Linked DNA regions of Coturnix japonica. The protein of the gene in region 1 interacts with the protein of each later gene in a biochemical or structural test. Links are inferred from orthologs where the notes say so. Each region holds a gene or a part of one and is shown on either strand. Other genes may lie near its edges.

Region 1 (3,500 bases):
CTATTTAATCTTCCCTCATGTTTATTCCAAATAGTTGTTTATCAAAGGAAAGAAAAAGTCTTAAATCCAGTTCTCGCAGTGAAAATACTATTTCTTCAGTATGTAGTGCTCACTCCATGCCCTTCATCTCCTGTTAAATTAAGGTAGTCATTGGGAATCATCAAGGGAGCATGACAAATACTGTGGTAAGGTAATGATGTTTTAATGCCACTTTTTTGCATATTATTTTGTATTTTCTGTTAAACTGGCAGAGGTGAATTTCCAGTTTAGTTGCTCTTTTATTTGTTTTTATCTACATCCTAAATTTAATTTAGCGTAACTATCCTATAAATTACGAAATTTGAAGAATTACCTCATTAGTGTTGTTTGTGACAGACTTAATTTTGTATTTCTTTCCACACTACTAGCCTCAGGACTGCTTGTTTTTTTAGTGATTCCCTTCCTGAGTTTGTTAGGGTTTTTCTAGTACATTTCTGTCTAGATTGGTAACTGCTATAAATTAGTTCAGTCAGAATAGTTCCAATGAGATCATCTTCTGGTTTTCATATCAATTTTCTTACAGTTTAGGATGAACTCTAGCAGTCTTTGTTCTGGTAAAACTGTTACTTCTTCTATGTGACCTTCTGCATTAATAACCCCTACAGGGATGGTGGAGAGGTGGGAGAGGTGGATAGAAATGCTTCTTTAATGGTCAATAACAGATCTCTAAGAAAGAATGTAAGAAGTTGTGTCATGTGTCATAAGTATACTGCATAGAGTAAGGTGCTACTCGACATAATAAAGGATATAAAAATATGAATCATTAAGGGAAAAATGCTTCCCAATATCATTAGGTTCTAAAACTGTAGGAAAAAAGACAACAACATGCAATAACTTATAGTTGTTCTTCCTCCTTTGGCCACTTTGAAATGTAATATGAGAAGAGTAAAAACTATAAAATGAAATAAAGGATTAGGAGGGTGAATTATCTGCCAAAAACAAAATGCATAATAGAATTACCATTTCATTTCTGTGTCTTGATACTACCCAATCCCTTTTGGCCTCCTCTTACTTCTACATGCATTTATAGTCATTATCCACTGTGTGGGGAGGAAAGAAGTGCTTTGGAATAAATGAGAAGGCAAGAAGTTGATCTGACACTTTATTACTTTTTTTTCTCTCCATGTTTTAAATGTAGAATGAAGAAGGTTTCCTGCAGGAAGGAATGGTGAATAATACTGATATTCCTGCGGATCCTGAGAATGAGGCTTATGAAATGCCTCCAGAGGTAAATCTGTTGTGGTATTTGCTGTTTGTGTCCACAGGAGAAAGGCAAAGATAGGATACTGAATGCTGGAGTTGCATTAGTGTGGCATAGGCTGATACCATGAGCTGCAGGGTCAAAGGAGAAATAAGTTTGTGGCCAAAATCTCTCTGAGGTACAGTGCAGGGGGAGGGGGGAAGAAAAAGGGGAAAAAAAATTAATTTCTTGAAGTTTAATGAGAAAATATTATCTTTGTTTCAAAACATGCATGTTTCACTTTCTGAGTAATCATCAGTAACTTCTATTTGATACAGGTTATGGGGAGAAACTTCTACTTCTCCATAGATTCTTTTAATAGGTTGGACATTTAATGTGTTTTTTTGGATTGTGCTGGAAGTTGCTCTGAGTGTAATAACTAAAATTATAGGAGTAAATTATTGAGGGTTTTGAGCTAATCCTGATTATGCTCTCTGAAGCTTTACAACAATACATGATACTATGATTCATCAGCATTTGGAGTGGCAGTTTTGCAGTAGTGCAGATAGTCAGGCTGAAAACCAGAGGTGAAAACATCTAGAACTAGATCCAGTGAAGAGTTAAATAGATACCTGATCTCTGATTGCTGTTCAGGTTTCCAGAGTATTTGCAGCACCTGGTGTGCTGTTCAGAGGTTCTTCTTTAGTTCTAAGTGAGTTGGCATGCATTGTCTCACAAAATTCTCACTATGTCAGTGGGGACCAGAAGAGATCATTTTGTAGTTCCGAGTGAGCTGAACCAAGTCCTGAAGTCACATAGATAATGAGCCTGAAAAAAAGGTATGCTAACAGCACAGAGATTTAGCTGCCTCTAGTGTTTCAGTAAACCACATAAGGCCTGAAGTGTTTTGCAATGAGCTTTTGTAAAACATCTTGCACTCCTGATCCTTCAAAAAGAGGCTCATTTAACTCACCATAAGCAGACTGAGGAGCCCAGTTACGTGCTTTCAAGTGTCTGTGATCTTCATCACTGAAGAACATGTCCAATTGTTTTGCTGGATGCCAGCTGAAATGTAGCAGCTTGCTTTCACCCACATGAATGGGTTTACAAAAAAAATCATCATTTTAAAAAGGCTAAAGAGTAGTGTAGGTAGACTTCACACACAGGTGTTTTTTATTTATTTTCCCTTTCTTCATTATGCTTGCTCAGAATCAGTCACAAATTCGTTGCTGAAGTCTCTGTGATAACTGAGTGGTATGTTAACCACTGCTAAATCTTATTCTCCTGTTAACACCACACTTTGTCAAATAGAGTATCTGGAAAATGTGACAAAACAGTAAACACAAGACAAGTTTCTCATCACATAAAAATCCATAATATTTTTTCACTGCACATACTGTGATTAGCACAATCAGTAGAAGTTAAAATATATATGTTAGGATGTATTTATTTGAAATAGTAGCACTGATTTCTGCTCTCCTTCATAGGAAGAGTATCAAGATTATGAACCTGAAGCATGAGAAATCTTTTCTTCCTTTATATCTCCTGAAATCTACTAACAAAGACGTCCCATTCTGTACAAGTGCTGAGTTCCAATGTGCCCAGTCGTAAAATTTTTTTACAGTTTTTACAGTGTATTTTGAAGTCTTCCATCAGCAATGATTGGAGTATCTGTGACTGCATCCACCTTGTTTCAGCATTTCCCTCCTGCTGAAATGAAAGCTGGTTGGCAGGGTCATTGTTGTGCTGTGGATATTGTGGCTTCACTTTTAAAAGTTAAAAACAAAACACTAAATAAAAACACCTAAGTGTCTACTGCTTCTTTCTAACTCTGTACATGTTTTGTTGATAGGCTGTCAGTACTTTGATATTGTTTATGATACAATTTTTATTTGTTTCCTATGACTATTATTTCTGTGCAGAAAAGACTTATTGTGAAAGCTTTATGTAAATGTGTATGTATTATATATATAAAAAAGTAACTGAGCATGAACTATGCACCTATAAATATTAACTGTTGAAATTTTATTGTTTTGTGATGTGTTTTATTAACTTGTGTCTGTAAATAATGGTGTTCAACTGAAGCAAATAAAATGTAACCTGTTAAAAATGAATTTCAAGGGTAGTAGTCATTTATGACGGCTTATTTTCTCTCCAAGAGCGTGCATTGAGGAATTCAGGCTCCCTGAAAAAGCATGGGGGGAATAAAAGAAGCAAACAAGCCTGTTCTATACAAAAAGCAGGGTGAAGAATGTGAGTATCAGGACTGGCCTTACAGTGC
Region 2 (4,055 bases), on another chromosome or scaffold:
TCCCCAACAGTGTGAACGTGTATTTTAATACTGAAATAAAAAGAAAATTGGTCTGTAGTGCTTTTGGCAATCCTATTCTTTATCCTTAATTATTCTTGCCTCAATTCAAAGCACTTGATGTGATTACGCTCGATTTCCTGTGAGATTCTCTCAGTATTTCAAGGTCCAACTCAGTGAGAACTTCAATGAATGGAGGCCTTCAGAGCTAAGATGGATTCCATTTGGAAAGCAGGTTTGTTTCTGCCTCAAACTGAAGATGCACGTTCCTGCTCTCCATTTGTAGAAGAGCAAGAGAGGTAACTCGAAACAGTGTGATAGAAGGCTAAGAACATTGTAAAATCCCTTAAAACAAATGTGTATTACAGGCATTACAAAGGAAACAAATAAATCCCCTTCGGTACTACGCACCTATACAGCACCTTTTAAAAGACCTCAAAGCACTTGCTGTTAAGCTCACAACCTTGCTGTGAGGTAAGGTTGATGAAATCAATTCCACCTTCCCTGATTCGGAGCAGTATGAGAAGTAGGGCACTTCACCCAGCTTGTTTTGTTCTGACAGTTCAACTGCATCATCCTTCATTATCTTGAATTATAAGCCTTGCTCCTCAACAGTCATCGGTGACAAATCAAACACATTAAGGCAGAATGCAGATGAAGAAACCTCCAGCCTCCCTTCTGGATTACTACTCCTTGCTTCTATAAGACTTCTTACCAGCAAACACAACTGAGAACTATACCTTAAAGTGCTAATTTACAGTATTTGGAATCTGCTACAGCTTAGTAACACTGTGGCTGTGAGATCAGCTACAGCCAAATGAAGACCATTCCGATGTACTAAAGAGATGCAAATTAAGATACTTCCCTAATGAATGTATTTCCCTCCTGCCAGAATTGAAGATAAAGTGAAGAAGAACCCAAGTATTCCAAGTAACATGCCTACGTTCCAATGCAGTGTAAACACCAAGGGGCTGGATAGTTATTTTCCAAGCAACTAAAAGCTACCTATGGAGGATTAATAAGTTTATTCAACACTTAACCACCTACTCGTTAATTTTAAGAAGGCTATCTTAAAGCTTAAAGGCCACTTCTCTCTCTAAAGCCGTGACTTCACACAAACAATACATTCTACTTCTGATAGTAACATAGTGTAGGGCAGCTTTAGGGATGCTCTTCCCACTATATACTGCGCACCCCACGAGCAGTTCCCCTTGGAAGGGCTGCTTCTATGCGCAGAGTCTATTTATGAGCATAAATAGTGCTGATACGTACATTTCCTAAACCCTTAATTTAATTACCCTGACAACATAAAACAGTGATTTAGAGGCTCGCTTTTTTTACACTAGTATTGAACAAGCCTGGTTCTGTATGGCCACTCAGAGCACACACTCAAAGAGAAGGTTATTACAGTCATCAGGTTTTAGCTGCCAGTGTACATCACCTGCCCAGTGACTCTAAATCAGCATGCGAGAAGATAACCTACATTTCAAACCAGCTGGATAAATCCCTATCCAACACCAAACCTGTGCGCCTCGGCCATCGTTAAGCTAACACGCTTTTCAAGCTCTGTGAACGGAATTTTGTGATTAAATACAGCTTATCTGGAGATCCAGAATTTTATTCCGGATGAGTGAGGTAGTAGATGTAACCATCCTCATACAGGAGTCACACCTCCCCGAAGTTGGTGTGTCCCGTCTCCTTGGCGTGTTCTCTGGCTTCTACTTGTCCCGTCAGTCCCTTCTGGCACACCATGCACCTCAGAGTGAAGCGATTCACGTCGGTGAACTGCCTCTTCCTTCTGGCTTCATCTGCTAATTCCAAAGCTTGTGCGAGGACGACATCATCAGTGGTAGAGAAAATGGTTTGGGGAGGAACGTCCGAGTCGAGGATCTTACGCTCGAGCGGATCGTAATGAATCCCATCATAGATCAACAGCACCCGTTTGGTGTAGCCGGCATCCTCCCCGAAACGATCGATTCTGACCGTCTGTGTGTCCACCACACAGATCTCACACTGATAAAACTTAGATAAAATAGAAACCTCGATGGCTCCCCCCCACGTTTCCTCTCTCCGGATCCAGTCGCAGTATTCTCTATTGCTTTTCCCCAGCACAGCTTCACAATACGCCTCGGGGTCGCTGCCTACGATCTGTGCTATGAGGTTACGCATCTCAGGAGCGCAGCCGGGGTCGTACACCCCTCCTTCCACCACGTAGTTGATGCTGGTGAATAGACACGAGTTATCAGCCGGTACCACCCTCCTGGCCAACACTGGAAGCGCTTCCATCACCTCCATGGTTCTCTTGGTCACCACTGGGGAGCCAGCACTGGGTTTAGATGTATCCTCCTCCACTATGAGCGTGTCTCCTGTTAGAGAGAGGGGTGAGATGAGTATAGAGGCAGATTAACACCAACCCATCCCCAAAGAACACAAAGTGCTGTATGTCTATGGCTCTCAAGCACCTCCAATGGGGGGTGAGCACCCACAGCCTCACTTAATTAGACTAATTACAGCCCTAATAACTAGGCCTCACCCGAATGGATGCCCAGCTCTCCCAGCCTCCTCTCTCCATCACTCAGATCAATGCTCCGAGGTGGGAAACCGAGCAACAACCGCTGTGCCGAGGCGGGGACGCCGGTGATGGCGGCTAAAGCGGCCTGCATGTCTCTGAGCCGGGTGTGTGCGGTGAGGCCGGGTAACAGCTGGGTCCCGCTCCGGGCCTTGCAGCGCAGCCGTAACATGGTCGGTGCCGCCCCCCTTCCTCCTCCTCCTCCTCTCCTTCCTCCTTTCCTTCCCCTCCTCTTCCTCACCCGGCCCAGCGCCCGCTGGATCTCGCGAGATCTCTTCCCGCGCTGCTGTTTCATTTGGCGCCAGGCCGCGGCCAATCGTGGTTGTCTCCAAAGCGGGCGCGCGCGCGCGCCGCGGCCGGTGTGGATCTCATTTGCATGCAGGGCGCGCTGCGGGTTGTGGCGTAGAGCCGTTCTCCCGCCCGCTTGCCGGGGTGTGATTTGCATCTCATTTGCATGCAGCGCGGCGGCGCGGAGCCATGGCGGCAACGTACCGGCACGGCGGCAGAGCCGGGGCCCAGCGGGGAGGGGAGAAGAAGTGCTGTAAGTACCGTGTAACCGTGCATGGAGAGCTTATGGTTGTCTTATTGCTTAACAGAATACTAGGTTCCCACCCCACGCGTGGGTTTGACTCGCTATCCCGGTGCTCTTGGTGCTGCTGGCAGTGTCAGCCCATCGCTGCAGCCCTGCTGCCTCCTGTTTTTCGTGACCATCTGTTTGAACCCATGTTTTCTTCCATTCTCAAGCCATTTTTCTCCTGCCCTTGTCAGCCGGCACCTGCTGGGTAAATATTTGCCCCGCCGAGAGCTGCATTAGCTCCATTAATTGCAGCAGGTGCGCCGCTGCTAATCACTTTCATTAGCTAACACTGCTTGCAGCACTCATTAGGAGCCAGGTGCCAGCTGCAGGACGGCCGGCTCTGTCTATGTAGCTCTATCTGTGCACTGGGTTCCATGCTATCATTCCCCTGCAGCGTGGGCATCCTACATGACCAACTCGCCCACCCTCATCGTGATGATCGGGCTGCCAGCCCGGGGGAAGACCTACATCTCCAAGAAGCTGACTCGCTACCTCAACTGGATCGGGGTGCCCACCCGAGGTGTGTGTGCGCCCACACAGCCCCATTAACACGGGTGGGAGGGTGTTGGTGGGTTCCCATCTCAGCACTGTGTTGCTTTCTGTCCCAAGTGTTCAATTTAGGGGTGTATCGCCGGGAAGCTGTCAAGTCCTACAAATCCTATGACTTCTTCAGGCATGATAACAAGGAAGCGATGGAGATCCGCAAGTGAGTTGGCATTGCAGGGCTGCACAGATGGCCCGTGGTCTGCTTAGGCTCGGGGTTGGCAGCCTGTGTGTTTCTGTAGCACCAAATAACATTGAATGCCATGGAAGGAGGTAGTACAGTGCACGGATCCCTTGGCAGGATCTCTGGGTGCGTGGGAATGTTGTTGGCATCAGAACTAGATGGAAAGGAAGCAGGGGCTTGGAGCA
Region 3 (4,248 bases), on another chromosome or scaffold:
GCACAACAGACCAAAGCAATTTAGTGACAGAAAACAAAGAACCGTGAAATTATTTTTAACGTTAAGCAACTTATCTCTACTTATTTTTCAATTATTTATACTAGTTTGGACAAATGTAAGTTGTGTGATGGCAATACTGTTGGCCTGGAAAGCCAGTTGGTGAGGGGCTAAGGGAAAAGCTGGCATAGCACCGAGGAGTGAAACCTGGGTATCTTGAATTTTAACTTGTTTCTGTTTTTGTCCCCCACCCCTTTGGCTCAATTCTAACAATACTATCATGACTTTGGAGAGAGGAAAGAGACGTCTATGCAGGGGGAGCACGTGGCCAGAGCCTAGATGCAGATGTGCAGACCATGTAGAGTCCACACAACCAAGTGTATGTGCACCCAAGCACTAACTTCATAAAGCAATACTTATTACTTGAGTATATATTACTGTTATTTTAAGATCTGAAAGAAATGCTCAGGGGAGGATACCATACTCTTTTATATGGTCATGTGCTTGGATGTTAATTTGTATGGAATTAACTGGACTTCTGTTTTCACCAGCACAGTAAGCAAGCAGATGTACTCCCAGTGTGTACGAAAAAGCAAACTCCTTTTCAGAAATGAACAGGAACTTTCACACTTTAAAACTTTCCTCTCACGTGGACCTTTCACTCTTCAAGGACCATTTCTTTTCAAACATCTGTATCAGAGATCAAGGACTGTGCACCCCAGTTTCTAATGTGAAGTAGGGAGAAATTTTAATGTCAGCTGCAAAGCAGCATCCTGGAAGGGGGGAGAGAGTGTTGCAGGAGGTGCTTCCAAGCAGCTATCCTTCTGCCCCCGGCTGCAGCCTTTTGGTGCCATGCACTGCAGTACTGCAAGCAACTGATCACAGGAGAAGCTCTGGGCTGCTGGGAGGAGGTGTCTGGACAAAGAAGAGAATGGGATGTGATGCTTGAAATATCTTTGGCAAAAAACAAAACAAAAGTAAGTGGGATGAGACTTGCTGCCCAGGACAGCCTGCAAGCTCAGTGCAAAATGAATGCTGCCGTTCTGACTAACAGACGAGGGCTGCCCTATATGGCAAAAGTTCCGTTGTCTTAGAGGTGTGTTTAGGATGTCTGAAGAAACGTCTTTGTCCGTGAAAATAAAACATCAGTGCTGCCTGTATCTGTCCCTCTGTCAGACGGCTCCGAGAGCGCGGGGATGTGGCTGGGCAGCGAGATCTCCCCATGTGAGCAACAGCGAGGGCAGCAAGGCTCGCACAGAACTGGTTTCCTCTTCGATCCGGGGGTGGCTGCGGGCGGCCGCAATGCCCTCAATGCTGCCTCCGAGTCTGCATAGGGCTTCTGTCCCAGCTCTGGGCCGTGCCGGGCCGCTCTGAGCATCAGGAGGCGGGGCCGAGCCGCTGGGCGGGGCCTTCCTCGAGATATAAGGGCGAGCCGTGGGTTGCTCGGCGTTGTGTGAGCGCCGGGAGCGGGGTGGGGAGAGGAGCTGAGCGGAGCTGAGTTGTGCGGCAGGTGGGAGGCGGGCGGGACGGCGACGCGGAGATGGAGCTGCTGCGGACCATCGCCTACCCGCCGGGAGGCAGCGGAGCCTCCAGCAATACTGCTGCTGCCAGGGGCTGCGAGGCGGCCGTGGGGAGGGCCAGCAGTGCCGAGCCGCGGAGAAAGAAAGCAGAAGAGCAGCCCCACCAGCACGCACACCCTGCCGCCGAGGTGTCCCGGATTATAACCGACCCCGCGACGGGGAAGCGCTACTGCCGCGGAAAGGTGCTCGGAAAGGTAATGGCCGGGTCTGCGCCTGCAGCCCTGCTCCCGGGGTCTCCGTGCGTCTGTCGCGGCCGCGGACATTCTCGCCCGTACTCCGAGCCCGTGTGTCCTGAGCCGGCGGGGAGCGTTCGGGTGTGCGCTGTGCGACCGTCGCAGCCCTTCGGGAGGGAGCTCTGAGCACCTCCGCGTGTTAGCCGGCTGTCCTGCCCGAAGGAAGTTATGCTCATTGACTAATATGCGACCTGGTGAATGACTCAGTGCGGGGCTTCTTTCCTACCTGCTCTAATGGCTTTTTTTTCTCCTGTGTTTCTTCAGGGTGGATTTGCCAAGTGCTATGAGATGACAGATTTGACGACGAATAAAGTTTATGCTGCAAAAATCATTCCTCACAGCAGAGTAGCGAAACCTCATCAAAGGGAGAAGGTGTGTGTGCATGAACGATTTTTTTTTATTTTTTTTTTTCCCCTCAAACTCGCTTTGTGTGCTGGTTGCCCAACCCTTTTCCTGGAACAACTCCAGCAGAGCTGTCTGTTCTGCGCTTCCCAGGCTTGTGGTCACACGGCTAACAATGCTTTTTTCCTTCTCTCTTATCTCACCAGATTGATAAAGAAATTGAGCTGCACAGAATGCTTAATCACAGACATGTTGTTCAGTTCTACCACTACTTTGAAGACAGAGAGAATATTTACATTCTTCTGGAGTACTGCAGTAGAAGGGTGAGCATCAGCTGGGAGAAATCCAGTACTTACTTGCCTGGAATCTGTAATTGATTTAAAGGTATAATGTGTAAAAAGTATTTTTCAGGGCTTCTCTAGTTCATCCATGCATTAATTTTTGTGTACTTGATGTGAATTGTTTGTGTGAATGCTGAGTGACACGTCTGCCTTTGTTTTTTCCTCTGCAGTCAATGGCTCACATCTTGAAAGCACGGAAGGTATTGACGGAACCAGAAGTACGATACTACCTCAGGCAGATTGTGTCAGGGCTAAAGTATCTTCATGAACAGGAAATCTTGCACAGGGATCTTAAGCTAGGTAAGTTCTGTTCCTCGACAACTTCTAAAAATACATACTTTTCCAGCCCTGTCAGCCTTGTGTCACGTTAAACTTGTGTGCTGATAGCTTAATTAATAGCTTAGTCTGCCTATACAGTGGGAAGCTGGAGTGTTTGAGAAATGGTATTAAGTATCCATACTTTAAAAAAAAACAAACCAAAAGTCTTGGGTAGCTTCTGGTTTTGAATAAAGTATGACTCAGCACCTGTGGCAAATGCATTCCTGCTTTGCAAGGAGACTAACCAGAATTTCTTTCTGCTAGGTAACTTCTTCATTAATGAGAACATGGAACTGAAACTAGGTGACTTTGGCTTGGCAGCTAGGCTGGAACCACTGGAACACAGGAGGAGGTAGGAGCATTAAAGTAAAAAAAAAAAAAAAAGTGTATTGTAGTGTACAAAACCAAATTCACTTAGAAATGAGGGATGGAGATAGAGAGATCCTGTGTCAAAGGAAGAGCTAATTGTGCTCTGGAATCAAGATTTCCCCTTCTAGAAAAGTTTGCTGTGTTTTGATGTTTGCATTCCTCCTCTCAGCATTTGAATAATAGCAAATGCCTGAGGCAGGATACCTGACTAATAGTGCAGATATGAGTCTGCTTTTCCTGTATCATGAAGGCACTGTGAAACGTGTCTATGCTATTAGCATTCATAAAAGTCCTCTTTAGGAGTCTCTGAGCTCTTGCCTGAACTTGAGAGTAAAACCTGCCCTATGAAAAATAGCTTCTTTCCTTTTTCTCCCTGAGCTCCTACCCTAACCTGCCTCTGTGGCCTCTTTGATTTTACAGAACAATATGTGGCACACCAAATTACCTCTCTCCAGAAGTCCTCAACAAACAAGGGCATGGCTGTGAATCCGACATCTGGGCCTTAGGCTGTGTAATGTAAGTACTTTGCTGCCTTTGAAATAAAATATTTCTGTCGTTGGCTTAGGCTTTTAAGAGTTCAAAGGAAATGGATACAGTGCTGTGTTGGTTTGCAGCCCTTTCTAGATGCCGAACCCAAGTGCCGAAGTTCTCCTTACTAGGGGACAGATAAAATGTGTGCAGTGGTTGCCAGCTTGTGTTATGGGTGCACAAAATTAAGTTGGCTTTTGTTTTTCAACAGGTACACGATGTTGTTGGGAAGACCCCCATTTGAGACCACAAATCTTAAAGAAACATACAGATGTATAAGGGAAGCAAGATACAGTCTGCCTTCATCTCTCTTGGCACCTGCAAAGCACTTAATTGCTAGCATGCTGTCAAAGAATCCAGAAGACCGGCCCAGTTTAGATGAAATAATGCGGCATGATTTTTTTGTACAGGTTTGTCTTATTTAATGTTCTGGCTTAAACCTTATCTACCCTTACAAATGCACCCTGTGGTTTGAAAATTGCTTTTTGAATCTCATTTCCACAGGGCTTTACACCTGACAGACTTTCTGCTAGCTGTTGT
Region 4 (3,947 bases), on another chromosome or scaffold:
TGCTGCGTGTTTGCTAGAAATACTCATATAACTAAGTGGATTCTGGTGCTCCCAGCTCTATGGTACAGTGAAGTTCAATCCAATTAACCAAAAGAACAAAGAAAATAAAGGGGGGGGGAGGAGAAAAACAACCCAAAAAACAGCCCTTGAATGCGGGCTACCCTGCCAGTTTGCTGGCCACGAGTGAGGATTTTCTCTGCGGGAGGTCCTGAGGCTTTGGGATGTGGTCTCCTGTCACCAGGTTCTTATCCGGCCCTGCAGTCGGCAGCTGTTTGTTCTTCATCTTCGCCTTGGCCATGTTGTAATCACCGGAATCAAAGTATTTTTGCTGGAAGAAGAGAAGGATTTCAGGTTACTCTGAAGCTCTTTGCAGGACGGCCGAGCTGCACACTGAGCTATAAACACACCTTTAAGAAGCTGCGATGGCTGATACCCAACTTATCACCAGAACAACACACAAGGGGAAAGTCCAAGGCAACTGTTGGGCCTTTATTTAGCAGCTCCCCACAACACCCAGTACGGCTCAGGTGTCTCATCCCAGCCAGCAGCCTACACCCCTGTCTCTTCTCCTTCCATTACTTGAAGGGAGCTTATAACCTGTCCCCTCTCCTTCCAGCTTATAAACACATAGGAGAGCGACTTCTTACACACACAGACAATAACAGGACAAGACGGAATGGCTTGAAGCTAAACAAGGGGAGATCTAGGTCAGATATGAGGCGGAAATTCTTTACCCTGAAGCGTTGCCATGCTGGTACTGCTGCTCACATTAGTGTGGGTCCTGCCTGAGCTGGTGGGAGGGCACTGAGCCCACAGCACTGATGGGGCTGGGGGGACTCTGTGGTCCCTTCCTACCCATTCTGTGATCCTAACAGTGACTGTGTCTGAGCCCACAGCACTGATGGGGCTGTGGGGGCTCTGTGGTCCCTTCCAACCCATTCTGTGATCCTAACAGTGACTGCGGGGCAGACGCTGTGTCAGCAGCCTCGTCCAGACAGGCTCAGCTACAGCAACGCAGCTGGGGGACATTTGCTGATCCCACTTTGGCAGACAAAAGAGCTTGTGGGACAAAGGCAGAATGAGCCCAGCCCAACCCACAGCCCAGCCAGGCTCCTGCAGCCAAATGCCTGCAGAGATGTGGCACCCAGACAGCTCCCATCAGTGCTGAGCTGTGGTGCGAAGGGCAGCCCGCTCCCTCGCCCATGACTCCGTGCACCCCATGGTGCTGCTCTGCCCTGCTGACAGCAGAGCAAAGGGCAAAAGGACGAGCAGAGTTTGGACAGTGCTCTGAGAAATCCTGCTTGAACTCTGGGCAGTCCTGAATGGAGAAAGGAATTGGACTTGGTGATCCCTGTGGGTCTCCTCCATCCCAGGGTATCTAGTGATGCTGCCAACAGCTTTTTGGGCCCCACAAAGCCCAGCCCAGCCCTAAAGCCCTTTCCCTACTTGGTGCCAAAGGATGAATCCCTCATTTCTGTGCTTGCTTTAGGAGCTGGGACCTAAAACATGACCTGTCAGCAAGGCAGCACACAAAGAGCTGTGCAAACAGCGAGGGGGCTGCACCAGGACCAGCAATACGGGGTTACATTAACAACCAATAGAGCTAATGGGACCCTGGGTTCAATTAACAGCCAATAGAGCTAATGAGACCCTGGGTGTAATTAACAGCCAATAGAGCTAACGGGACCCTGGGTGTAATTAACAGCCAATAGAGCTAACGGGACCCTGGGTGTAATTAACAGCCAATAGAGCTAATGAGACCCTGGGTGCAATTAACAGCCAATAGAGCTAATGGGACCCTGGGTGTAATTAACAGCCAATAGAGCTAATGAGACCCTGGGTGCAATGCCCAGAGCACGGGGCAGGGCGATGCTCCCCTACTCTGTCCTGGGGGGAGTGGAGTAAGGTTCCTTACCTTAATCTTACAGTTGAAGTGGGTTAGTGTTTAGGGTTAGTGTTTAGGGTTAGGGGTTTAGGGTTAGGGTTTGGGGTTTAGGGTACTACTCTTCCACTGTAGTTATAAGCAGAGTGGGAAGTGCTGGGAGAGCCTCCAAGTGGGTATGGAACAATTGATGGGGAACAGATGAGAGCTGTGGGGCTGAGATCAGGAGCTGAAAGGGGGCAGGACAAGGGGGGACAGGACAAGGGGGGCACAGGGCGGCCCCCCCCCATCTCTGTGATGCTGTGAGTGCTGTTGTGACACCCCGGGCCCATTGTACGGAGATCACGGCTCTAAGTACCCCTTTCTGCAGCCTCTTCATCAGGAAGTCGGAGCCGCCGGGTTTCTGGCCCAGGTTGGGGTATTTCGCCTTCAGTTTCGCCTCCTCAACCCGCTCCGGGATGGCGGCTTCATTGTCCTGCGGGTCCTGAAAGGCAGCGGGGCCTGTAACAGTGTAACATAACGCGGGGCTCCGTCCCCACCCGCAGCCGGTTCCGCACTGAGCCCCGCACAACTGGGCCCCACAACCCCCTCCACCTCTCCCGGAAGTCCCACCCCCGCGCCCACACGGCAGCCAATGAGCGCCTAGAAGAACAACGACGGAAACAACGACGGGAGCCAACCGCTGAGCGAGGCGAGGAAGAGTGGCGCGCTGCCGGACCAATGGGAAGAGGGAGGGCCCGGCACGCGGTTCCTCACCTGTTTCTCGTGCCCGCAGTGCTCCGTGACGATGCCGGTTCCCAACGGGGCGGCCATGGCGGGACGGGCGGCCCTGCGGCTTCGCGTCGCTCCGTGCGCGCCGAGCAGCCCCGAGCTCTGCTCCAAAATGGCCGCCACCGCCCCCCTGACGGCCCGGCTGCGTGACGGACAGGCGGCTGCCCAATAGGAGCAGCCAGGAGGCCGTAGTGACGTCACACACGACCAATGAGGAGCTGCGAGGGGTGGGGAAAAGGGCCGGGCTTGGCCAACCCGTGTGAAGCTTATGGAACCAATGGGAAGTGAGAGAACACCTGGTGGGCGGGAGGCGTGGCCAAAAGTTTGATAGACAGCGGGAAGAACCAATAGGGGAAAGGGGGCGTGGCCAAAGCTCGGGAGCTGGGTAGAACCTTGAAGCGGCGCCCCCTGGCGGGCAGAGGAGGAACTGCAGGACACGCGGCCCCGCAACTCGCAGCGCCCCCCGCCCCCACCCCACATTGTGCGACCCCTCATTGTGCGACCCCACATTGTGCGACCCCCAAAGCTCCCGTAGCGCCTCAAGGCCCCGGGATGGAACTGACACCGCTTCCCCCAACCCCAAATTCAAAGGAAAGAGGAGCTGATCCAGCATTAAGGCAGAGCACTGAGAGAAGGGCTGCAGGACGGAAAGGAACGTGTTCAAAATTCCCAGGGGGGGAAAAAAAACAACAAAAACAGGAATAAAAAACAAATAATCAGTGTAAACTTTTCCCTCCTGGTCTGACACAGAGACACCCCCGGCACACACAGCCCCTGAAGAACCAGGGCACAAACCCAATACAGCAGGGAGCAGCAGGAGGAGGCGAACCCAAACCCTAACCCTAACACCTAACCCTAACCTTAACCCTAACCCAATACAGCAGGGAGGAGGAGGCGAACCCTAAACCTAACCCAAACCCCAACCCCTAGCCCCAAAACCCTAACCCTAACCCAACCCTAACCTTAACTCTAACCCAAACCCTAACCCTAACCCAATACAGCAGGAAGCAGGAGGCAAACCCTAACCATAACCCTAACCCCTAACCCTAACACCTAACCCTAACCCCTAACCCCTAACTCTAACCCAATACAGCAGGGAGGAGGAGGAGGAGGCAAACCCTAAGCCTAACCCCTAACCCTAACCCTAACCCAATACAGCAGAGAGGAGGTGGCGAACTCTAAACCTAACCCTAACCCCAACCCCTAGCCCCTAAACCCTAACCCCTAACCCTAACCGTAACCCATAACCCTAACCCAACCCCAACCCTAACCCTAACCCAATACAGCAGGGAGG
Region 5 (3,500 bases), on another chromosome or scaffold:
TCCGCTTATTCTGGGCTTCCAGCAAACAAGATGGTACTTTGCTTTGCACTGTAAGAATATTTTGTTTCTTTCTACCTTCAACAGCTGTAATTTGGAAAGGTTGAAATATATTATTTAACATGGCAGTCTGGATATAAGCACTGAATTATTAATCAGAGTATCTTGTTGCACTTCGAGTTTAGAGGCGTCTCACTAAAAAACATTAACTAATTGGTAGGAGACCTTTTCACTACGTGGAAATCTTTGCAAAGAGTGATTGGTTAAACAGAATGCAGATTGTTAGGTAATGCCAGGTTTCTTTCAAGTTTTGTTTAAATAGCCTAGAAAAACTTTTTTTAAGGAGGAGGGTTATTTTGCTGGTTTATGCATAAGTCAGACCTCAGCAGTTTGCTAGCATGGCTACTATTTGGAAATTCAATCCTAGACTTGATACTCAATTATATGGGATTTCATTCCTACCAACTTCCTGTAATTCTAAACCTATGGGTAAAAATATTAGTAGTCATACGCTGCTGGGGAAAGTACGGACACATTGACTCAGCTAGTGCAGCTGCAGCAGAAGCTGCTGTTTTAAACTTGGAAGTGCTGAGAGGTTATTATTATATTCATATATGCAAATTACAGAAGGTATAATCGAAACAAGGTTGATAGTGTTTGTCAGTACGTTGCAGCTGAGGTCGCTGGAATGTAAGTGCTTTATAAATGAATGCTTTCTGACTGCGAGCAATCAAAGACGGTCCAGAAACTGCACTTCAACAAATGGCTGACTGATTTCAAGAGGTACAATATCTTTTTTCTTAACACTACTATCCTGTAGAAATTAGGACAAAGCTTGCAACTTCTTTTATGGGCTTTTGCTGTTGTGATGCACTAGCTCCAGGTTCTGTGCAGCTGCCTGTAAACTTTCTGCTGAAGGATCTTTGTGGTTTTAATTTGCTAATATGCATGGAAATGAGAACAAATGGCACGACGGTTAAGACTGCATTTTGCAACCCAAAGAAGGAACACGGATCTGTTACCGGAAACCTCCGAAGATGTTTTGAATAGTAACAATCAAATGTACTTCAAAAAGGCACAGAATTCTGAACTTAATGGTATACAAATGAAGCTGGCTTCTAGACAAGTTGCTTGTGCACCTGTAATGCAGCAAGTAATTAATCAAGAGGGAAATGCAGCTATTTCTTCACTGCAAAAAAAAAAGAGCACGTCTCTGCACATTTCTCTGCAATCTAGAAGGCATAATGAATGTTTTCGGTCTGGTGATGCTGCAGCTGCTGGCGAAGATGCTTCATTCATCAGTATTTGTAATGAAGGAAATTATGGCATCAGAACTGTGGTTGATCATCAAGCTAACGATAGCCATCTGAGCAATACTGCTGTGTGCATCGGCAGTCTTAACAGTATTGCAGCCAGTGACAATGGGTCCTTCAGCAGTGCTGGCAGCGACTATGGATCATGTGCAAGTACCACGAGTGATGGAGGTTCATATAGTAACAGCGTCATCAGTGACAGCGGCAGCGGCACTCTCTCCACAAGCGATGGTTCTTTCTGTTGTAGTGTTGTACATGGTGATTCTTCGTATGGAAACACTGCAAACAAATACAGTCCATACAGAAGCAGTTCATCTCAGGAGGAAATAGAAGTGTGTAGAATTAACCCTGCTTTTGACCAAGAAGCTGTGTCGGTGAGGAAGAAAACCAAAGTTCCGCTGCGGCGGTGTTCATCATTGGTAATTTTCCCCAGAAGCCCTTCCAGTACTCCTCCAGCTACTCCAGTAACCTCAGGTCAGATGCCACATAGAGGTGCCTATCAAACATCACATAAACTAATTATTTCTCCTAGTGAGCTGGCACATAAGGAAGATCAGACTGTTTCTAAGGGATTCCTTTCAACAGCAGTCAATGGACTTCGACTGTCTAAAACAGTTTGCGCATCTGGTGAAGCTAGAGACATAAGACAGCTTTACTTGCAGACATCATTACGGGACAAAAGTCGAATTTTGAACAGTTCTGAGCAGACAGCTCGTGAAGAAATAGCTGACAGATTCTCATGCATTTCAGTTCATCTGACTCCAAGAGCATTTGCATCAAGCAGTGAAATGGTTAATGGCTGTTGCAGTCAAGAGTTAAATCTGAACTCCACTACAAAATACCCTCCTTTAAAACTGGCACGCAGCACATCTGCATGTTTACCCTCAAAAATAGATTCAGAATACCAGATGAATATAAACGAACTGGAAAGACCGAATGCACAGATGAGCAAAGCCCACCATGTTTTGCAAAGAAGTGTTTCGTTGGAAGGATCGCGTCAGAAAGTTTCTTGCTGTTTATCCAGTCTTAAATACAAGTGTCATAATGCAAGGACGTCTCAGTTGCACATACAGTTCAGACCTGGGAACGAAGGAAAAACAAGTGGTGTTAAGAAAAGATATGGAACCTCTAAAAGGGAAATATCCAGCACTTCTTTGTGGAGGCCCCATAAGGTGAGTGTTCTGACTTATAGAAAAATCAGTGTTCTGCAGCTGAAACTAAATTATAAATTTTAAATAATAACATTTGTAATCAAGATTTTAAACACAGCTATTTCAGGATTTCTTAATGTTGTCAGACTGTCATCATTGGGCAGGTTAATTTTTATATTACCCACAACACTCATTTTTTTAGATTTGATTCTTAAAATATGGTACTGTTTTTGGTGAATTTGTCATATAGGGAAATATCTGTATTTAATATATTATACACAATTATTTCCTGCTTACATGAACCCAAAGGGATTTTCTTGTTTAAATAACTTCAATGTCTAAATGCCTAAACTTCACTTTTGTAAAGTTTTAAATACGTAACTTTCCAGCTCAATTATAGTAATGATTAACATTGCATATAAAGTTGGCAAAAATGAATAAATTGCTATAAAGAAGGCTTTCAGGTTTATTTCATATAGGCTTTATTCTCAGTATGGTTTACTTTATGAGAGATTAAAGATAAGTTATATTTGAACAGAGAAACTGTAAATACCATTTGTTTCTGTATACACCCTGAACCACAGGAATTTTCAGTTTCCTTTCCTTTTTTTTTTCCCCCTTCCAACCACTTCTTCAGTCTGAGCAGCACGCTGTAACTTAATCTCTCTCCCAACAACATTGCTGTCCAAATTATAGTACTCGGCTCTAGAAGGTTTATATTAAATATATTGTTTGGTAATGAAGCTTACATCGAACTGAATTTCCGGAGGGTTTGATCTTATTAACTCTTGAGGCATTTTCTATTGTTAGTAAAGCATAAACCATATGAAATGTGAATACTAGAAACTGTTATAGTGAGGTTGTGGAGACTTGAACAAGCTGAGTATTATTAACTGTTTTTAATTGTGAACTCTGGAGAAAGAGCAATAATACTTACAAAAGTTATTTCATGTTTTAAGACTACACTGTCCATTAATTTAAATTACTGTGGTCTTATAATACTTGTTGAAGCAATGGGTTTTAGGCCAAAGATCTGACA
Region 6 (4,222 bases), on another chromosome or scaffold:
TCTGGATTCATTTCTTAGCCAAAACAAACAAAAAACAAACAAACAAAAAAAACCCCGCAGAAGCTATTTCAGAATTACAGGCTTCCAGTGTCTATGAGTAGTGCTGCATTTGACTGACAGATCTGGGCACCCAGAAGTTTTGGAGCTGATGGGTACAATGATACAGGTACTTTAGGATTTGTTTCCTTCTTGCAAGGATAGGAGGATAGGTAATCCCTGTTACATACAGCTTTGGACGTGGCTTTTGGCCTCTCTTTGACCTTTTGCCACAGAGCCAGTAAGCAATGGGATGGCTGACAGCAGAGTACAGCCTTTAAGGACTGTAAGTTGGTAAATGGGTATTTTTTCAAGAAGAGATAGCTTCTTGCTAATGGAACATGGCAATGCATTCATTCGTTATGCGGTTTAATTATTACAGCTCATTGTTAACTTATTGAATGCTTCTCTGCATTCCTGTCCTCTTCCAGAAAGAGGGAGGCCCGGAAATGCTTATTTCAAAGTTGATTTTCCAGTTCAGTTCACAGTTCATGCAATACCAGCACTAAATCTCCACTCTGCTGCTGCCCAGTCTGGGATCAGCTGGGGGTTTGCATAGAGCATCTTCCATTAGGACTGGTTGATCAAAAACACTGGAAGTGTTTCAGAAGAGCACAGAGGAGGATTGTTCTGCAGCTTCCTTGTTTAACCATAGGTGAAGAAGCACACATTGGTTAACAGTGACACAGAAGTACCTGGCGCTCCTCGTGTTTCCCATGAATTTCTATCATGTCCCCAATCACCTTCACTTTTAGCTCCTCGGGGGAGAAATGCTTCACATCAAGATTTACAGAAAATTTGTCTTTCTCCAGTCGCATCTGTAAAACAAGGAGACGACTTCAGGCAGAGGTTTCAGCTTCATCAGACTCTCAACATGCAGCAAGTCACGCTCACGCTGGGCTCCCCACACGCACTGTCTGACCTCCTGTTTTCAGTCCTGGGGTTCTCATCTGGCTCTTGCTAGCCTGTTCCATTCATGCCCACCACTACAGCACATAAAACATGATGCTTTCTCTCTGGATAAACAGAGAATAGATATTTTCTGGGAAATAAGAAAGAGACTTTCTCAATCTGAATTTGTTAAAACTGACTCCTATCTACTTTTTCTGAGGTGTCTGGAGATTTCCAGTCTCTGCAGCTGGATTTTGCTAAGTCTTTCTGGAAAAAGAAACAGAGTGTGCAGCTGGCTGCAGCTCATCTGTGTCACTTGCAGGCTTTCCCCTGCGTCGTCACTCTTTAAAAACAAAAATAGCGTGTCTCAGCTGAGCAGCACTACCAGCTCACCCCTCTTATCTGAGCAGCAGGGCTACTGCTGAAACTCTGAGTCACCTGCTGCTCATCTTGCATCCTTACCTTCCATTCTGCACTTTATCATCTCCAGCAAATGCTGCTTTTTGCTTGCTCCTGAGGTTGAATTTGCATTTTCTGCCTGTCTTGGATAAGTCAGTGGGACACGGCAATGCAGGCTGGCTGTCTCTGCCTTCCTGCTGCAGTCACAGTCAGGGAAAACGCGAGCCTCCTGCAGCTCTGTTTTGGGACATGGAGGCAGCTTCCATGCCAGTTCTAGCTTTCTGGTTACTGGTTTCCTCAGTTTTACCTGGAGGGCTTCCTGCTCCTTTTGCTAGATTACTGTGAAGATTTCTCCACTGAAAAAGTCAGATGTTGATGTTGTTACCTGTGGTGCTTATTATGGCTGCTTCAGCATATGACCAGACCAGGTGACTAAACCAAGGGAAACATTAAGCAAAGATTAAGAAAATACTTCCCTCTCACTCCACTGGCTTTGAGTAACTCTTTAAGTTATTTGCACATTGGCATCTGACCTGCATGCTGAGCAAAGTCATTTGAGCTGCGTGCCTCAGCCCCCGAAGCAGATGGCCATTTAAAGGTCCTCCCATCCCATATCTCTCTGAAAACACTGCTCTGCCTGGCAGAGATGCTTTAGCTTGGGCCTTTCTACTCAGCATCTGGGGGCTCCCATGCTGCCTGGCACGGGGTCCCACTGCCCCTCTGCTTCTCAGGAGGACGCAGAATGTAAAATTTTTCAGGGCAGACAGAGAAATCAGGCTTCCTCCTTTCTCTTGCTGGCTTCTACAGTCATTCACAGCACACACACAGCTCAGTTTGTCTCTGTGCCCATGGCTGTGGCAATATTTGCTCTCAGTTACAAGTGATTAGCAGAGAGTGCAGAGGTCCTTGCCTAACACCAAGGAGCAGAGGCAAGAACTCAGCACTCTTTTCCTCATAATAGATTTCCTATTAACTACCTACAAGCAGTGTCCCAGCTCTCCCGGGTCCCCAGCTCCAGACCCGTCAGGATGTGCACCTAGTGGTAACAAGAAACAGTAAGCAAGGAAGATTACCTCTGAGAGTCCCGTCTCCAGCCAACTGGGCATCCGAAAGAAGGGGGATCTCATCAGGAAGGGGCTGAAGCTGGGGGACGTAGGGAGCAGCTCTGACTCCTGCAGGTGCTCTCCAAATAGCTGGTCAAAGATACGGCTCGGTGTTAACCAAGAAAACAGAGGTCTGCGGATCAGGGGGTTGTGAATGGTGATATCCATCGGAGTGCGACAGAGGAGCCAAGCAAACAACTGCTGCGGTGCTGTGCCCAGCACAGGGGGCAGCTTTATACCCGTGCGGCTGGCGGGGCCTCTCCCCCCGAGGCCTCTCAAATAGTGGTGTCAGGGATTTTATTGTCCCAGTCCGGGACTGGTCCCTTCAGCAGTGCCCAGGAGCGTCCGGGGGTTTGAACAGACTGCTAAGGAGGAGGGGGAAGGGGAGAAGAAGGACACTAATGGGACAGCAAGAAGCCAAGCTGCCCAGCCACCCTCTCTGCACCCCACGTGCTGTTTATCTGTTGAGTCCCAGGCAGGCTTGGCGGATGTTCCCAGCTGCTTTGGATGCCAGCAGGATCAATGCAGCTCCTATCTTTGGTTCACATGGAAAAGGACAAGGGACTGTTGTTCCCAGTGACGGCACCAAGGCTACAGTTCCCCACTGCACCCACGCGCCAAGGAAGGGCTCTGCCTTCCCTTAAAGTGAAGGAAGCCCCAGGCCTTAATGAGAGGGCAACATGGACCCCAAAAGGTCTGTGCTGAGGTACCCTGGTGTGCAGCTCTGCAGCCTGGTGAGCACCATACCTGAGCACCTGCTGGTGTGTGCACACTAAGGATGGTTTCCACAGAGCATCAGCTGACAACTCTTGTCCTTTGCCCACTCGAGAAATCGCTCTGCTGGAGAGGGCAGAAGAGCCCAGCACCCTGTGAGCAGAGATAAAGCAGGCACACAGCAGCCCTGCAGAGCTGCACCACTGCTTGCCTTCTCTGGGATGCAAACTACCTTGATCTGCCTGTGCCCAGCAGCTATCAGTTCAGATCATGAGGCTGGGTTCAGCCCAGCAGCTGTCCTTTAAGGACAAGAGCTCTGATTATCTGCAACTTAAATACAGACTTCTGGCTTGAGGGCACATGATTCTCACTGCTAGCACCACCGGTCCCCTGCAAAAGGGCTCGACTCTCTTCCTGTTCACTTGCCTGCAAGATTAGGGTGTAGAATTCTCTCTGCAGAAGCCCCAGCCATAAATACTTTATCCAGTTCCATGTTACGTCAGCAGTAGTGCACCTGCTCTCTCGCACTGCAGAGACATGGAAATCTCTGGTTTCAGAGTACAAGGAGCTTAAATGGGTACTAACACCCAGTTTAGTAAAAGTGGATCTAGGCCAGTTTCAGACTCTGGTTAATGCACCACCTCCAGCACAGGCATTTCTCTGGTCCCACTGAGCAGCACTGAAGCCCTGGCCAAGGCACAGCCTGGTCAGCTGGCTCACAGTGGCACAGTTCTGGAGTGTCAGCATCATGGTCTGCACCCTGTTCAGTGCCACTTAGCGGTCTGCAGCACCTTACCACTCCCAGGAACAAAAGACTCAGCTTCTGGGGGAAACAGATCCCTTTCTGTGGGGTTGATATGAGCGATAAACTCACAGCGATGACTTTGCATGACTGCACACAACCTGACCAAGCATCAGCCACCATTAGGCATAGCCCTGTGCCCTGCTGGGTTGGCAGGGGCAGTGCTGGGTGCCCTGTTCCTGCCTCTTGTTCCCTGCCCAAGGTGGAGAGCCAGGGGGTGCAGGATTGCACCCCGCCGGCAGTCAGAGCCTGCAGCTCTACAGGAATGCAATGAGGA
Region 7 (4,199 bases), on another chromosome or scaffold:
GCCAGTGCTTCTACTGGGGCTGCCTGACTGCACTGACTGATACAGCCAGCTATGGTGGTCCTCCAAGAACTGCTAGTACCCAGTGATCAGCAGGAAAACCACACATACATTTTTAGTGTGAGATAAAACACAGTGGAACGCAATGTACTGCACCAGTGAGATTCAAACGAAGGAGAAAAATCAAGGAAGATTCTTCACTCCAGACTTTGCTGCTGAAATGTTCTAGGCTAGCAGGACAGAGACTGTGCACTACTTACTGAGCTGCTTAGCTGACAGAAAGTGAAGTGAAACTGTACTTCTTTGTTTAAGAATCTTTTTCACTGTGTATTTTTATTAACACTTGGCTGTAATTTGTGATTTTCTATGCATAATAACGACTGAAGGGCTCAAAAGAAGGCTACACCAGAATAGCTTGGAGATGCCAGCTTCTCAACAAGAAAGCTGCAGAGTCATCATACGGCCTTGCTGCAGTGAGCAGCTGTCTCTCCGTACTGCATTTCACTGAACAAAAGCGCAGCAGAATGAGAACACAGGCAGCGAAGACCCAAATCTCTCCCAGTGAATCTGTTTTCACAGCTGGAGACAGAGCACTTGCTATTCTATATACAGCATCACTGAGCTCAGGGACTCAAGTGGGCAGTGTTAAATTGCACAGTAAAGCAGTTTAAAGCAAATGACTAATCTAAACCCTTCCCTTTCATTCCTGCTTTGGTCTTTCAAAAATGGCTTAAAAACATGAAACTTCAGACTTCATTCGTTATAACAGGACCAGAAGATGAATCCTGGCACCTGAAAGTAAAACCAACGCAAACAGAACTGACAGCACAGTTTCCCAAGTTGTTTGATCAGGACTTGTGGCACACAAAAAAACAGGACAAACCCTTAGCTTAGAGAAGGCCAAAAGCGAGTGAAAAAATACACCCTAACGCCTCCTTTTTCCCCCTAACTTTTTGTTACCTTACCTGCTAGGCCGTTACCTTCATTAGACTTACCATGAGATTTCTACCACTTTAGCTCCTATTGCATTACGATGCACATTTTTAAAGCCACAGGGGTACAAACATGCACATTATCCTTAGGCTTTATCAAAGCATTTGTTTTCAGGCTACGAAGTGCACAAAGAATTCCTTAATCCTTAATTAAACATGATCCCTTAATTTGCCATTTGGTTGTTCTGATTTTAAAAGAATCTTATGTACAACATGTGACGTTAGGATCTCAAAATATTACACCGCACATAACCACAGCCGAGGACAAAGCTAAAGCAGATCTGAAACAGAGATCACTAGTGGCTGGTTCCAGAGAAACAGCGAATGTTCTAGCACTAACAAGGGAGCCGTCCAGTTGCCTCAGGTTTAAAAGCCTTTGCATGGCAATTCTGTACAGTGTTAGCAGAGCACACTCAGCATCTTACTCACCGCGGTGCTGGCTGCTGCAGGACCAGGGGTGCCACGACATTCTGTACCAACCACTGGACTTTGCTCCTCGGGATTACGGGTGACAAGGATTCTGAAGTGCTGCTGTCTCGTGTTTTGATCTGGTCTGATTTTAAACAGGCATCCCTTCCCTTGAGGAATTTTCTCTACTGAATTGCTTCTGGATATTTCTGACCCGCTCCTGCTGTTTCCATGCAGTTCTGAAGTCAGTCCCTCACCTGCAGGGCGGATTTCCTCTGGCCGTGGTTGCACAGGGTAGGAAGCGCTCCTCCCCAGCTGTATGCGCGGGTACCTGACCAATCTATCCCCTTTTGTCCCAGTAAAGCCAAAGTTATACTCGCCACCTTTACCACTTGCCTGCGGCTGCTGTAACTGGAGAACAAAGAACTTTTTCCCTGCATTTGCTGACATGTCTGGCACATGCTGCAGAGACCAGCGCCGGGGCTCGGGGGTGGGAGCATTATTTTGAGCCTCGGAACCATAGGGCAACAGAGTAACCTGAGGCACATCGGCACTTGAAGCACGATGCTGAATCCTCACGCCGCTGAAGTTCAAACCTGAAGGTGTTTCCTTTGCTTCATTCTCATGGGCAGTGGACAGAGCATCGTCGCTCTGGTTATTAGGAGGAATAGTACGGAATATCCTACGGTTACAGCGAAGAGTGCCATTCATCTGCTGCCCCAACTCCTCTGTCTGCCTGGGTGGAGAATCATCAGGAGCCACCTCTGGGCTACTCCGGGAGGATGAATGGTTTTCAACGGGAGACACGTAATGCTCCCTAACATCCGAGGCCTTGCTCAGGGGTGTCTCCTTGGGGGTCTCCGGGGTCGCGCACTCATCTGCAGCCTTGCGCTGGAGAGAGATCTGCATGGAGGAGCTCCTGGTGGGACGTGCGCTGATGCTGTTCAGCAGCTGGGGAATAAACATGGAGGTGCTCCTTTTCAAGGAGCCCACTTCTTGGAAATCGCTGCCACCGCCGTAATCTGCTCCGTGTCGGGAGAAAGCGTGAGGGCTGCTTCTTCTCGGCAAAGTGTGGAATGCCATGAAAATCTCATCTTCTCTCTCCCGGTCGAGGATCTCGGATTCGGGGGCTGTGTTGCTTCGCCCAGAGCCAAAATGAAACCGCAGCCGATGGGCCATGGTTTTACAGAGAGAAGAAAAGGAGAGGGAGAACGGCAACAATTCAGGCGCTGCCAGAAGTTAAAAACCAAAGACATAAACTCCAAGAAAAAGTGTCCCATCTGCCAAACTGTTAGCACTGCAGCACTGATAGCGACAGATAGCAGAAATAGCCCAAGTGGCAAGCAGCATTCCAGGCATGATTGGGTAAGAGCAATCAGCACTCCTACACACAGTGACATGGGGTAGGATGGTGGCGGTCACGTGGCCCGGTTCCCCCTCTCCAATCTAAGCCAGTGGGGGTTCTGTTGTTTTTTTTTAATGCCAGCGAGAGCCTGAAACAGCACCTTCCCAGCTGCTCCTTTTCCATCAGGGCGCAGCTGACCGAGGCAGCGAGCACACTCGGCGCCGCTATAAATCTAACTCATCTCGTACCCGCACGGCGCGTTCGCACAGGGCGCACGGAAAGTTAACGACAACACAAACGGTTCGGTGTTAGGGCTGTAAGTCAACGCCACATGCAAATAAGGAACAATATTTCAAGCTTAACTTTTTGGTGTGTGTTACAGCACGAGGCTATCATGGCAGAACGTGAGTAAATATAGCACCGTTACGCTTTCAATTTTAACTGTGCTCATAGCACGGTTAAGTAACAAGCTCCTTGCCTTTAAAAAGCCACAACTTTCACGTTGTCCCTAGGAGCGCAATGCAGCCCAAGTGAGCCCACACAGCCCCTTTTAATCAGTAAAAATTACAGCAAACAAAGCAGCCCTATGCACAGCAAAGATTTCTCACTCAGTAGAAACAGGAGAAATGCGCAAAATGACAGGAGGCAAAGCTCCTTTTCCAGTGTTACCGGGCAGTAACGACGAGAGAAAACCAGAGACGGGTGTCGCATTGCCGTTTGGTACCGATTTGTCTTAAACAGCGCACAGAAACTCTGCCCTTTACTGGCCAGCCTCCAGTGGGAAAGTTAGCAATTCTACCATGGGCGTGATCGCAGGCACGGAATACAGTTACACTCTGAGAGCCAAGAGACCTCAGAAGCAGAACAGACCAGCAGGATACATCCAACTGCAGAACAAACACCCTGAATATGCTCCACTGCAATGCAGGAAATTGGTGACTGGGGGATCCTCGCAGCCGAAGGGCGCCCGCCATCGCAACGGTTCGCACATGCTGGGGAAGCACCCGGTTAGCTAAAAGCACATCTACAAGAAGAGACAGCGTAGGATCAGCTCAATGTACAGACATCTGTTCCTTAGGAGAACACTGAGAAGTGCTGTCAACAAACTATCGGTGGCAGGTCAGTGCTCTGTCTAGACGTTTAAACCTCTGTTTCCATGCGGCTTGCTCTCAAAAGACATAAAGTGACCAATCAAAGACAAATGGAAGCTTCAAACCTTGCAACTGCCAGCAGACAGCACAATCCCCTATTGTTTTAAGTGGACCAGGAGCCAACAAGAAGAAAAACATGAATAGCTTCTACACAGCCACAGTGCTGTGGAACTGTCTTGTGCAAGCACAAGTGTTGATTTTATCTTATTTTTCAGGTACACCATTTTCCATAGTCTCTTTTTTATCTGAAGATGAAGACACACCACGTATTCTCTGCTCTTATGGGGGGAGAGAAAGGAAAGGATA

Evidence for each region.
Region 2: the proteins of SNCA (region 1) and YOD1 form a complex in vitro, tested with the Homo sapiens proteins (2 studies listed by BioGRID, with this or other methods). The link is inferred for Coturnix japonica from reciprocal best matches to the Homo sapiens genes SNCA and YOD1.
Region 3: of the proteins of SNCA (region 1) and PLK2, one has a biochemical effect on the other in vitro, tested with the Homo sapiens proteins (2 studies listed by BioGRID). The link is inferred for Coturnix japonica from reciprocal best matches to the Homo sapiens genes SNCA and PLK2.
Region 4: the proteins of SNCA (region 1) and ENSA form a complex in vitro, tested with the Homo sapiens proteins (2 studies listed by BioGRID, with this or other methods). The link is inferred for Coturnix japonica from reciprocal best matches to the Homo sapiens genes SNCA and ENSA.
Region 5: of the proteins of SNCA (region 1) and NEDD4, one has a biochemical effect on the other in vitro, tested with the Homo sapiens proteins (3 studies listed by BioGRID). The link is inferred for Coturnix japonica from reciprocal best matches to the Homo sapiens genes SNCA and NEDD4.
Region 6: the proteins of SNCA (region 1) and CRYAB form a complex in vitro, tested with the Homo sapiens proteins (4 studies listed by BioGRID, with this or other methods). The link is inferred for Coturnix japonica from reciprocal best matches to the Homo sapiens genes SNCA and CRYAB.
Region 7: of the proteins of SNCA (region 1) and NEDD4L, one has a biochemical effect on the other in vitro, tested with the Homo sapiens proteins (3 studies listed by BioGRID). The link is inferred for Coturnix japonica from reciprocal best matches to the Homo sapiens genes SNCA and NEDD4L.

Annotation. Positions count from the first base shown.
Region 1 is NC_029519.1:31,233,867-31,237,366, reverse strand, and holds the end of SNCA (alpha-synuclein), read left to right. Parts: intron 1-1,177; coding exon 1,178-1,267; intron 1,268-2,706; coding exon 2,707-2,739; 3' UTR 2,740-3,333; downstream 3,334-3,500. UniProt on the Homo sapiens protein: Neuronal protein that plays several roles in synaptic activity such as regulation of synaptic vesicle trafficking and subsequent neurotransmitter release.
Region 2 is NC_029541.1:2,847,228-2,851,282, forward strand, and holds the start of YOD1 (ubiquitin thioesterase OTU1), read right to left. Parts: upstream 2,801-4,055; 5' UTR 2,739-2,800; coding exon 2,531-2,738; intron 2,364-2,530; coding exon 1,663-2,363; 3' UTR 1-1,662. Other genes in the region: PFKFB2 (6-phosphofructo-2-kinase/fructose-2,6-bisphosphatase 2), read left to right, coding at 3,044-3,107, 3,538-3,663, 3,753-3,849. UniProt on the Homo sapiens protein: Hydrolase that can remove conjugated ubiquitin from proteins and participates in endoplasmic reticulum-associated degradation (ERAD) for misfolded lumenal proteins.
Region 3 is NC_029547.1:19,439,763-19,444,010, reverse strand, and holds the start of PLK2 (serine/threonine-protein kinase PLK2), read left to right. Parts: upstream 1-1,448; 5' UTR 1,449-1,537; coding exon 1,538-1,771; intron 1,772-2,074; coding exon 2,075-2,182; intron 2,183-2,358; coding exon 2,359-2,475; intron 2,476-2,663; coding exon 2,664-2,793; intron 2,794-3,075; coding exon 3,076-3,163; intron 3,164-3,600; coding exon 3,601-3,696; intron 3,697-3,919; coding exon 3,920-4,118; intron 4,119-4,212; coding exon 4,213-4,248.
Region 4 is NC_029540.1:1,835,794-1,839,740, reverse strand, and holds the start of ENSA (alpha-endosulfine), read right to left. Parts: upstream 2,801-3,947; 5' UTR 2,696-2,800; coding exon 2,639-2,695; intron 2,367-2,638; coding exon 2,241-2,366; intron 329-2,240; coding exon 158-328; 3' UTR 1-157. UniProt on the Homo sapiens protein: Protein phosphatase inhibitor that specifically inhibits protein phosphatase 2A (PP2A) during mitosis.
Region 5 is NC_029525.1:6,722,655-6,726,154, forward strand, and holds part of NEDD4 (E3 ubiquitin-protein ligase NEDD4), read left to right. Parts: 5' UTR 1-961; coding exon 962-2,482; intron 2,483-3,500. UniProt on the Homo sapiens protein: E3 ubiquitin-protein ligase which accepts ubiquitin from an E2 ubiquitin-conjugating enzyme in the form of a thioester and then directly transfers the ubiquitin to targeted substrates. Specifically ubiquitinates 'Lys-63' in target proteins.
Region 6 is NC_029539.1:5,449,303-5,453,524, reverse strand, and holds the start of CRYAB (alpha-crystallin B chain), read right to left. Parts: upstream 2,801-4,222; 5' UTR 2,598-2,800; coding exon 2,400-2,597; intron 2,324-2,399; exon of another isoform or gene 1,390-2,323; intron 855-1,389; coding exon 732-854; intron 1-731. Other genes in the region: HSPB2 (heat shock protein beta-2), read left to right, coding at 4,216-4,222. UniProt on the Homo sapiens protein: May contribute to the transparency and refractive index of the lens. Has chaperone-like activity, preventing aggregation of various proteins under a wide range of stress conditions.
Region 7 is NC_029547.1:603,835-608,033, reverse strand, and holds the start of NEDD4L (E3 ubiquitin-protein ligase NEDD4-like), read right to left. Parts: upstream 2,801-4,199; 5' UTR 2,577-2,800; coding exon 1,419-2,576; intron 1-1,418. UniProt on the Homo sapiens protein: E3 ubiquitin-protein ligase that mediates the polyubiquitination of lysine and cysteine residues on target proteins and is thereby implicated in the regulation of various signaling pathways including autophagy, innate immunity or DNA repair.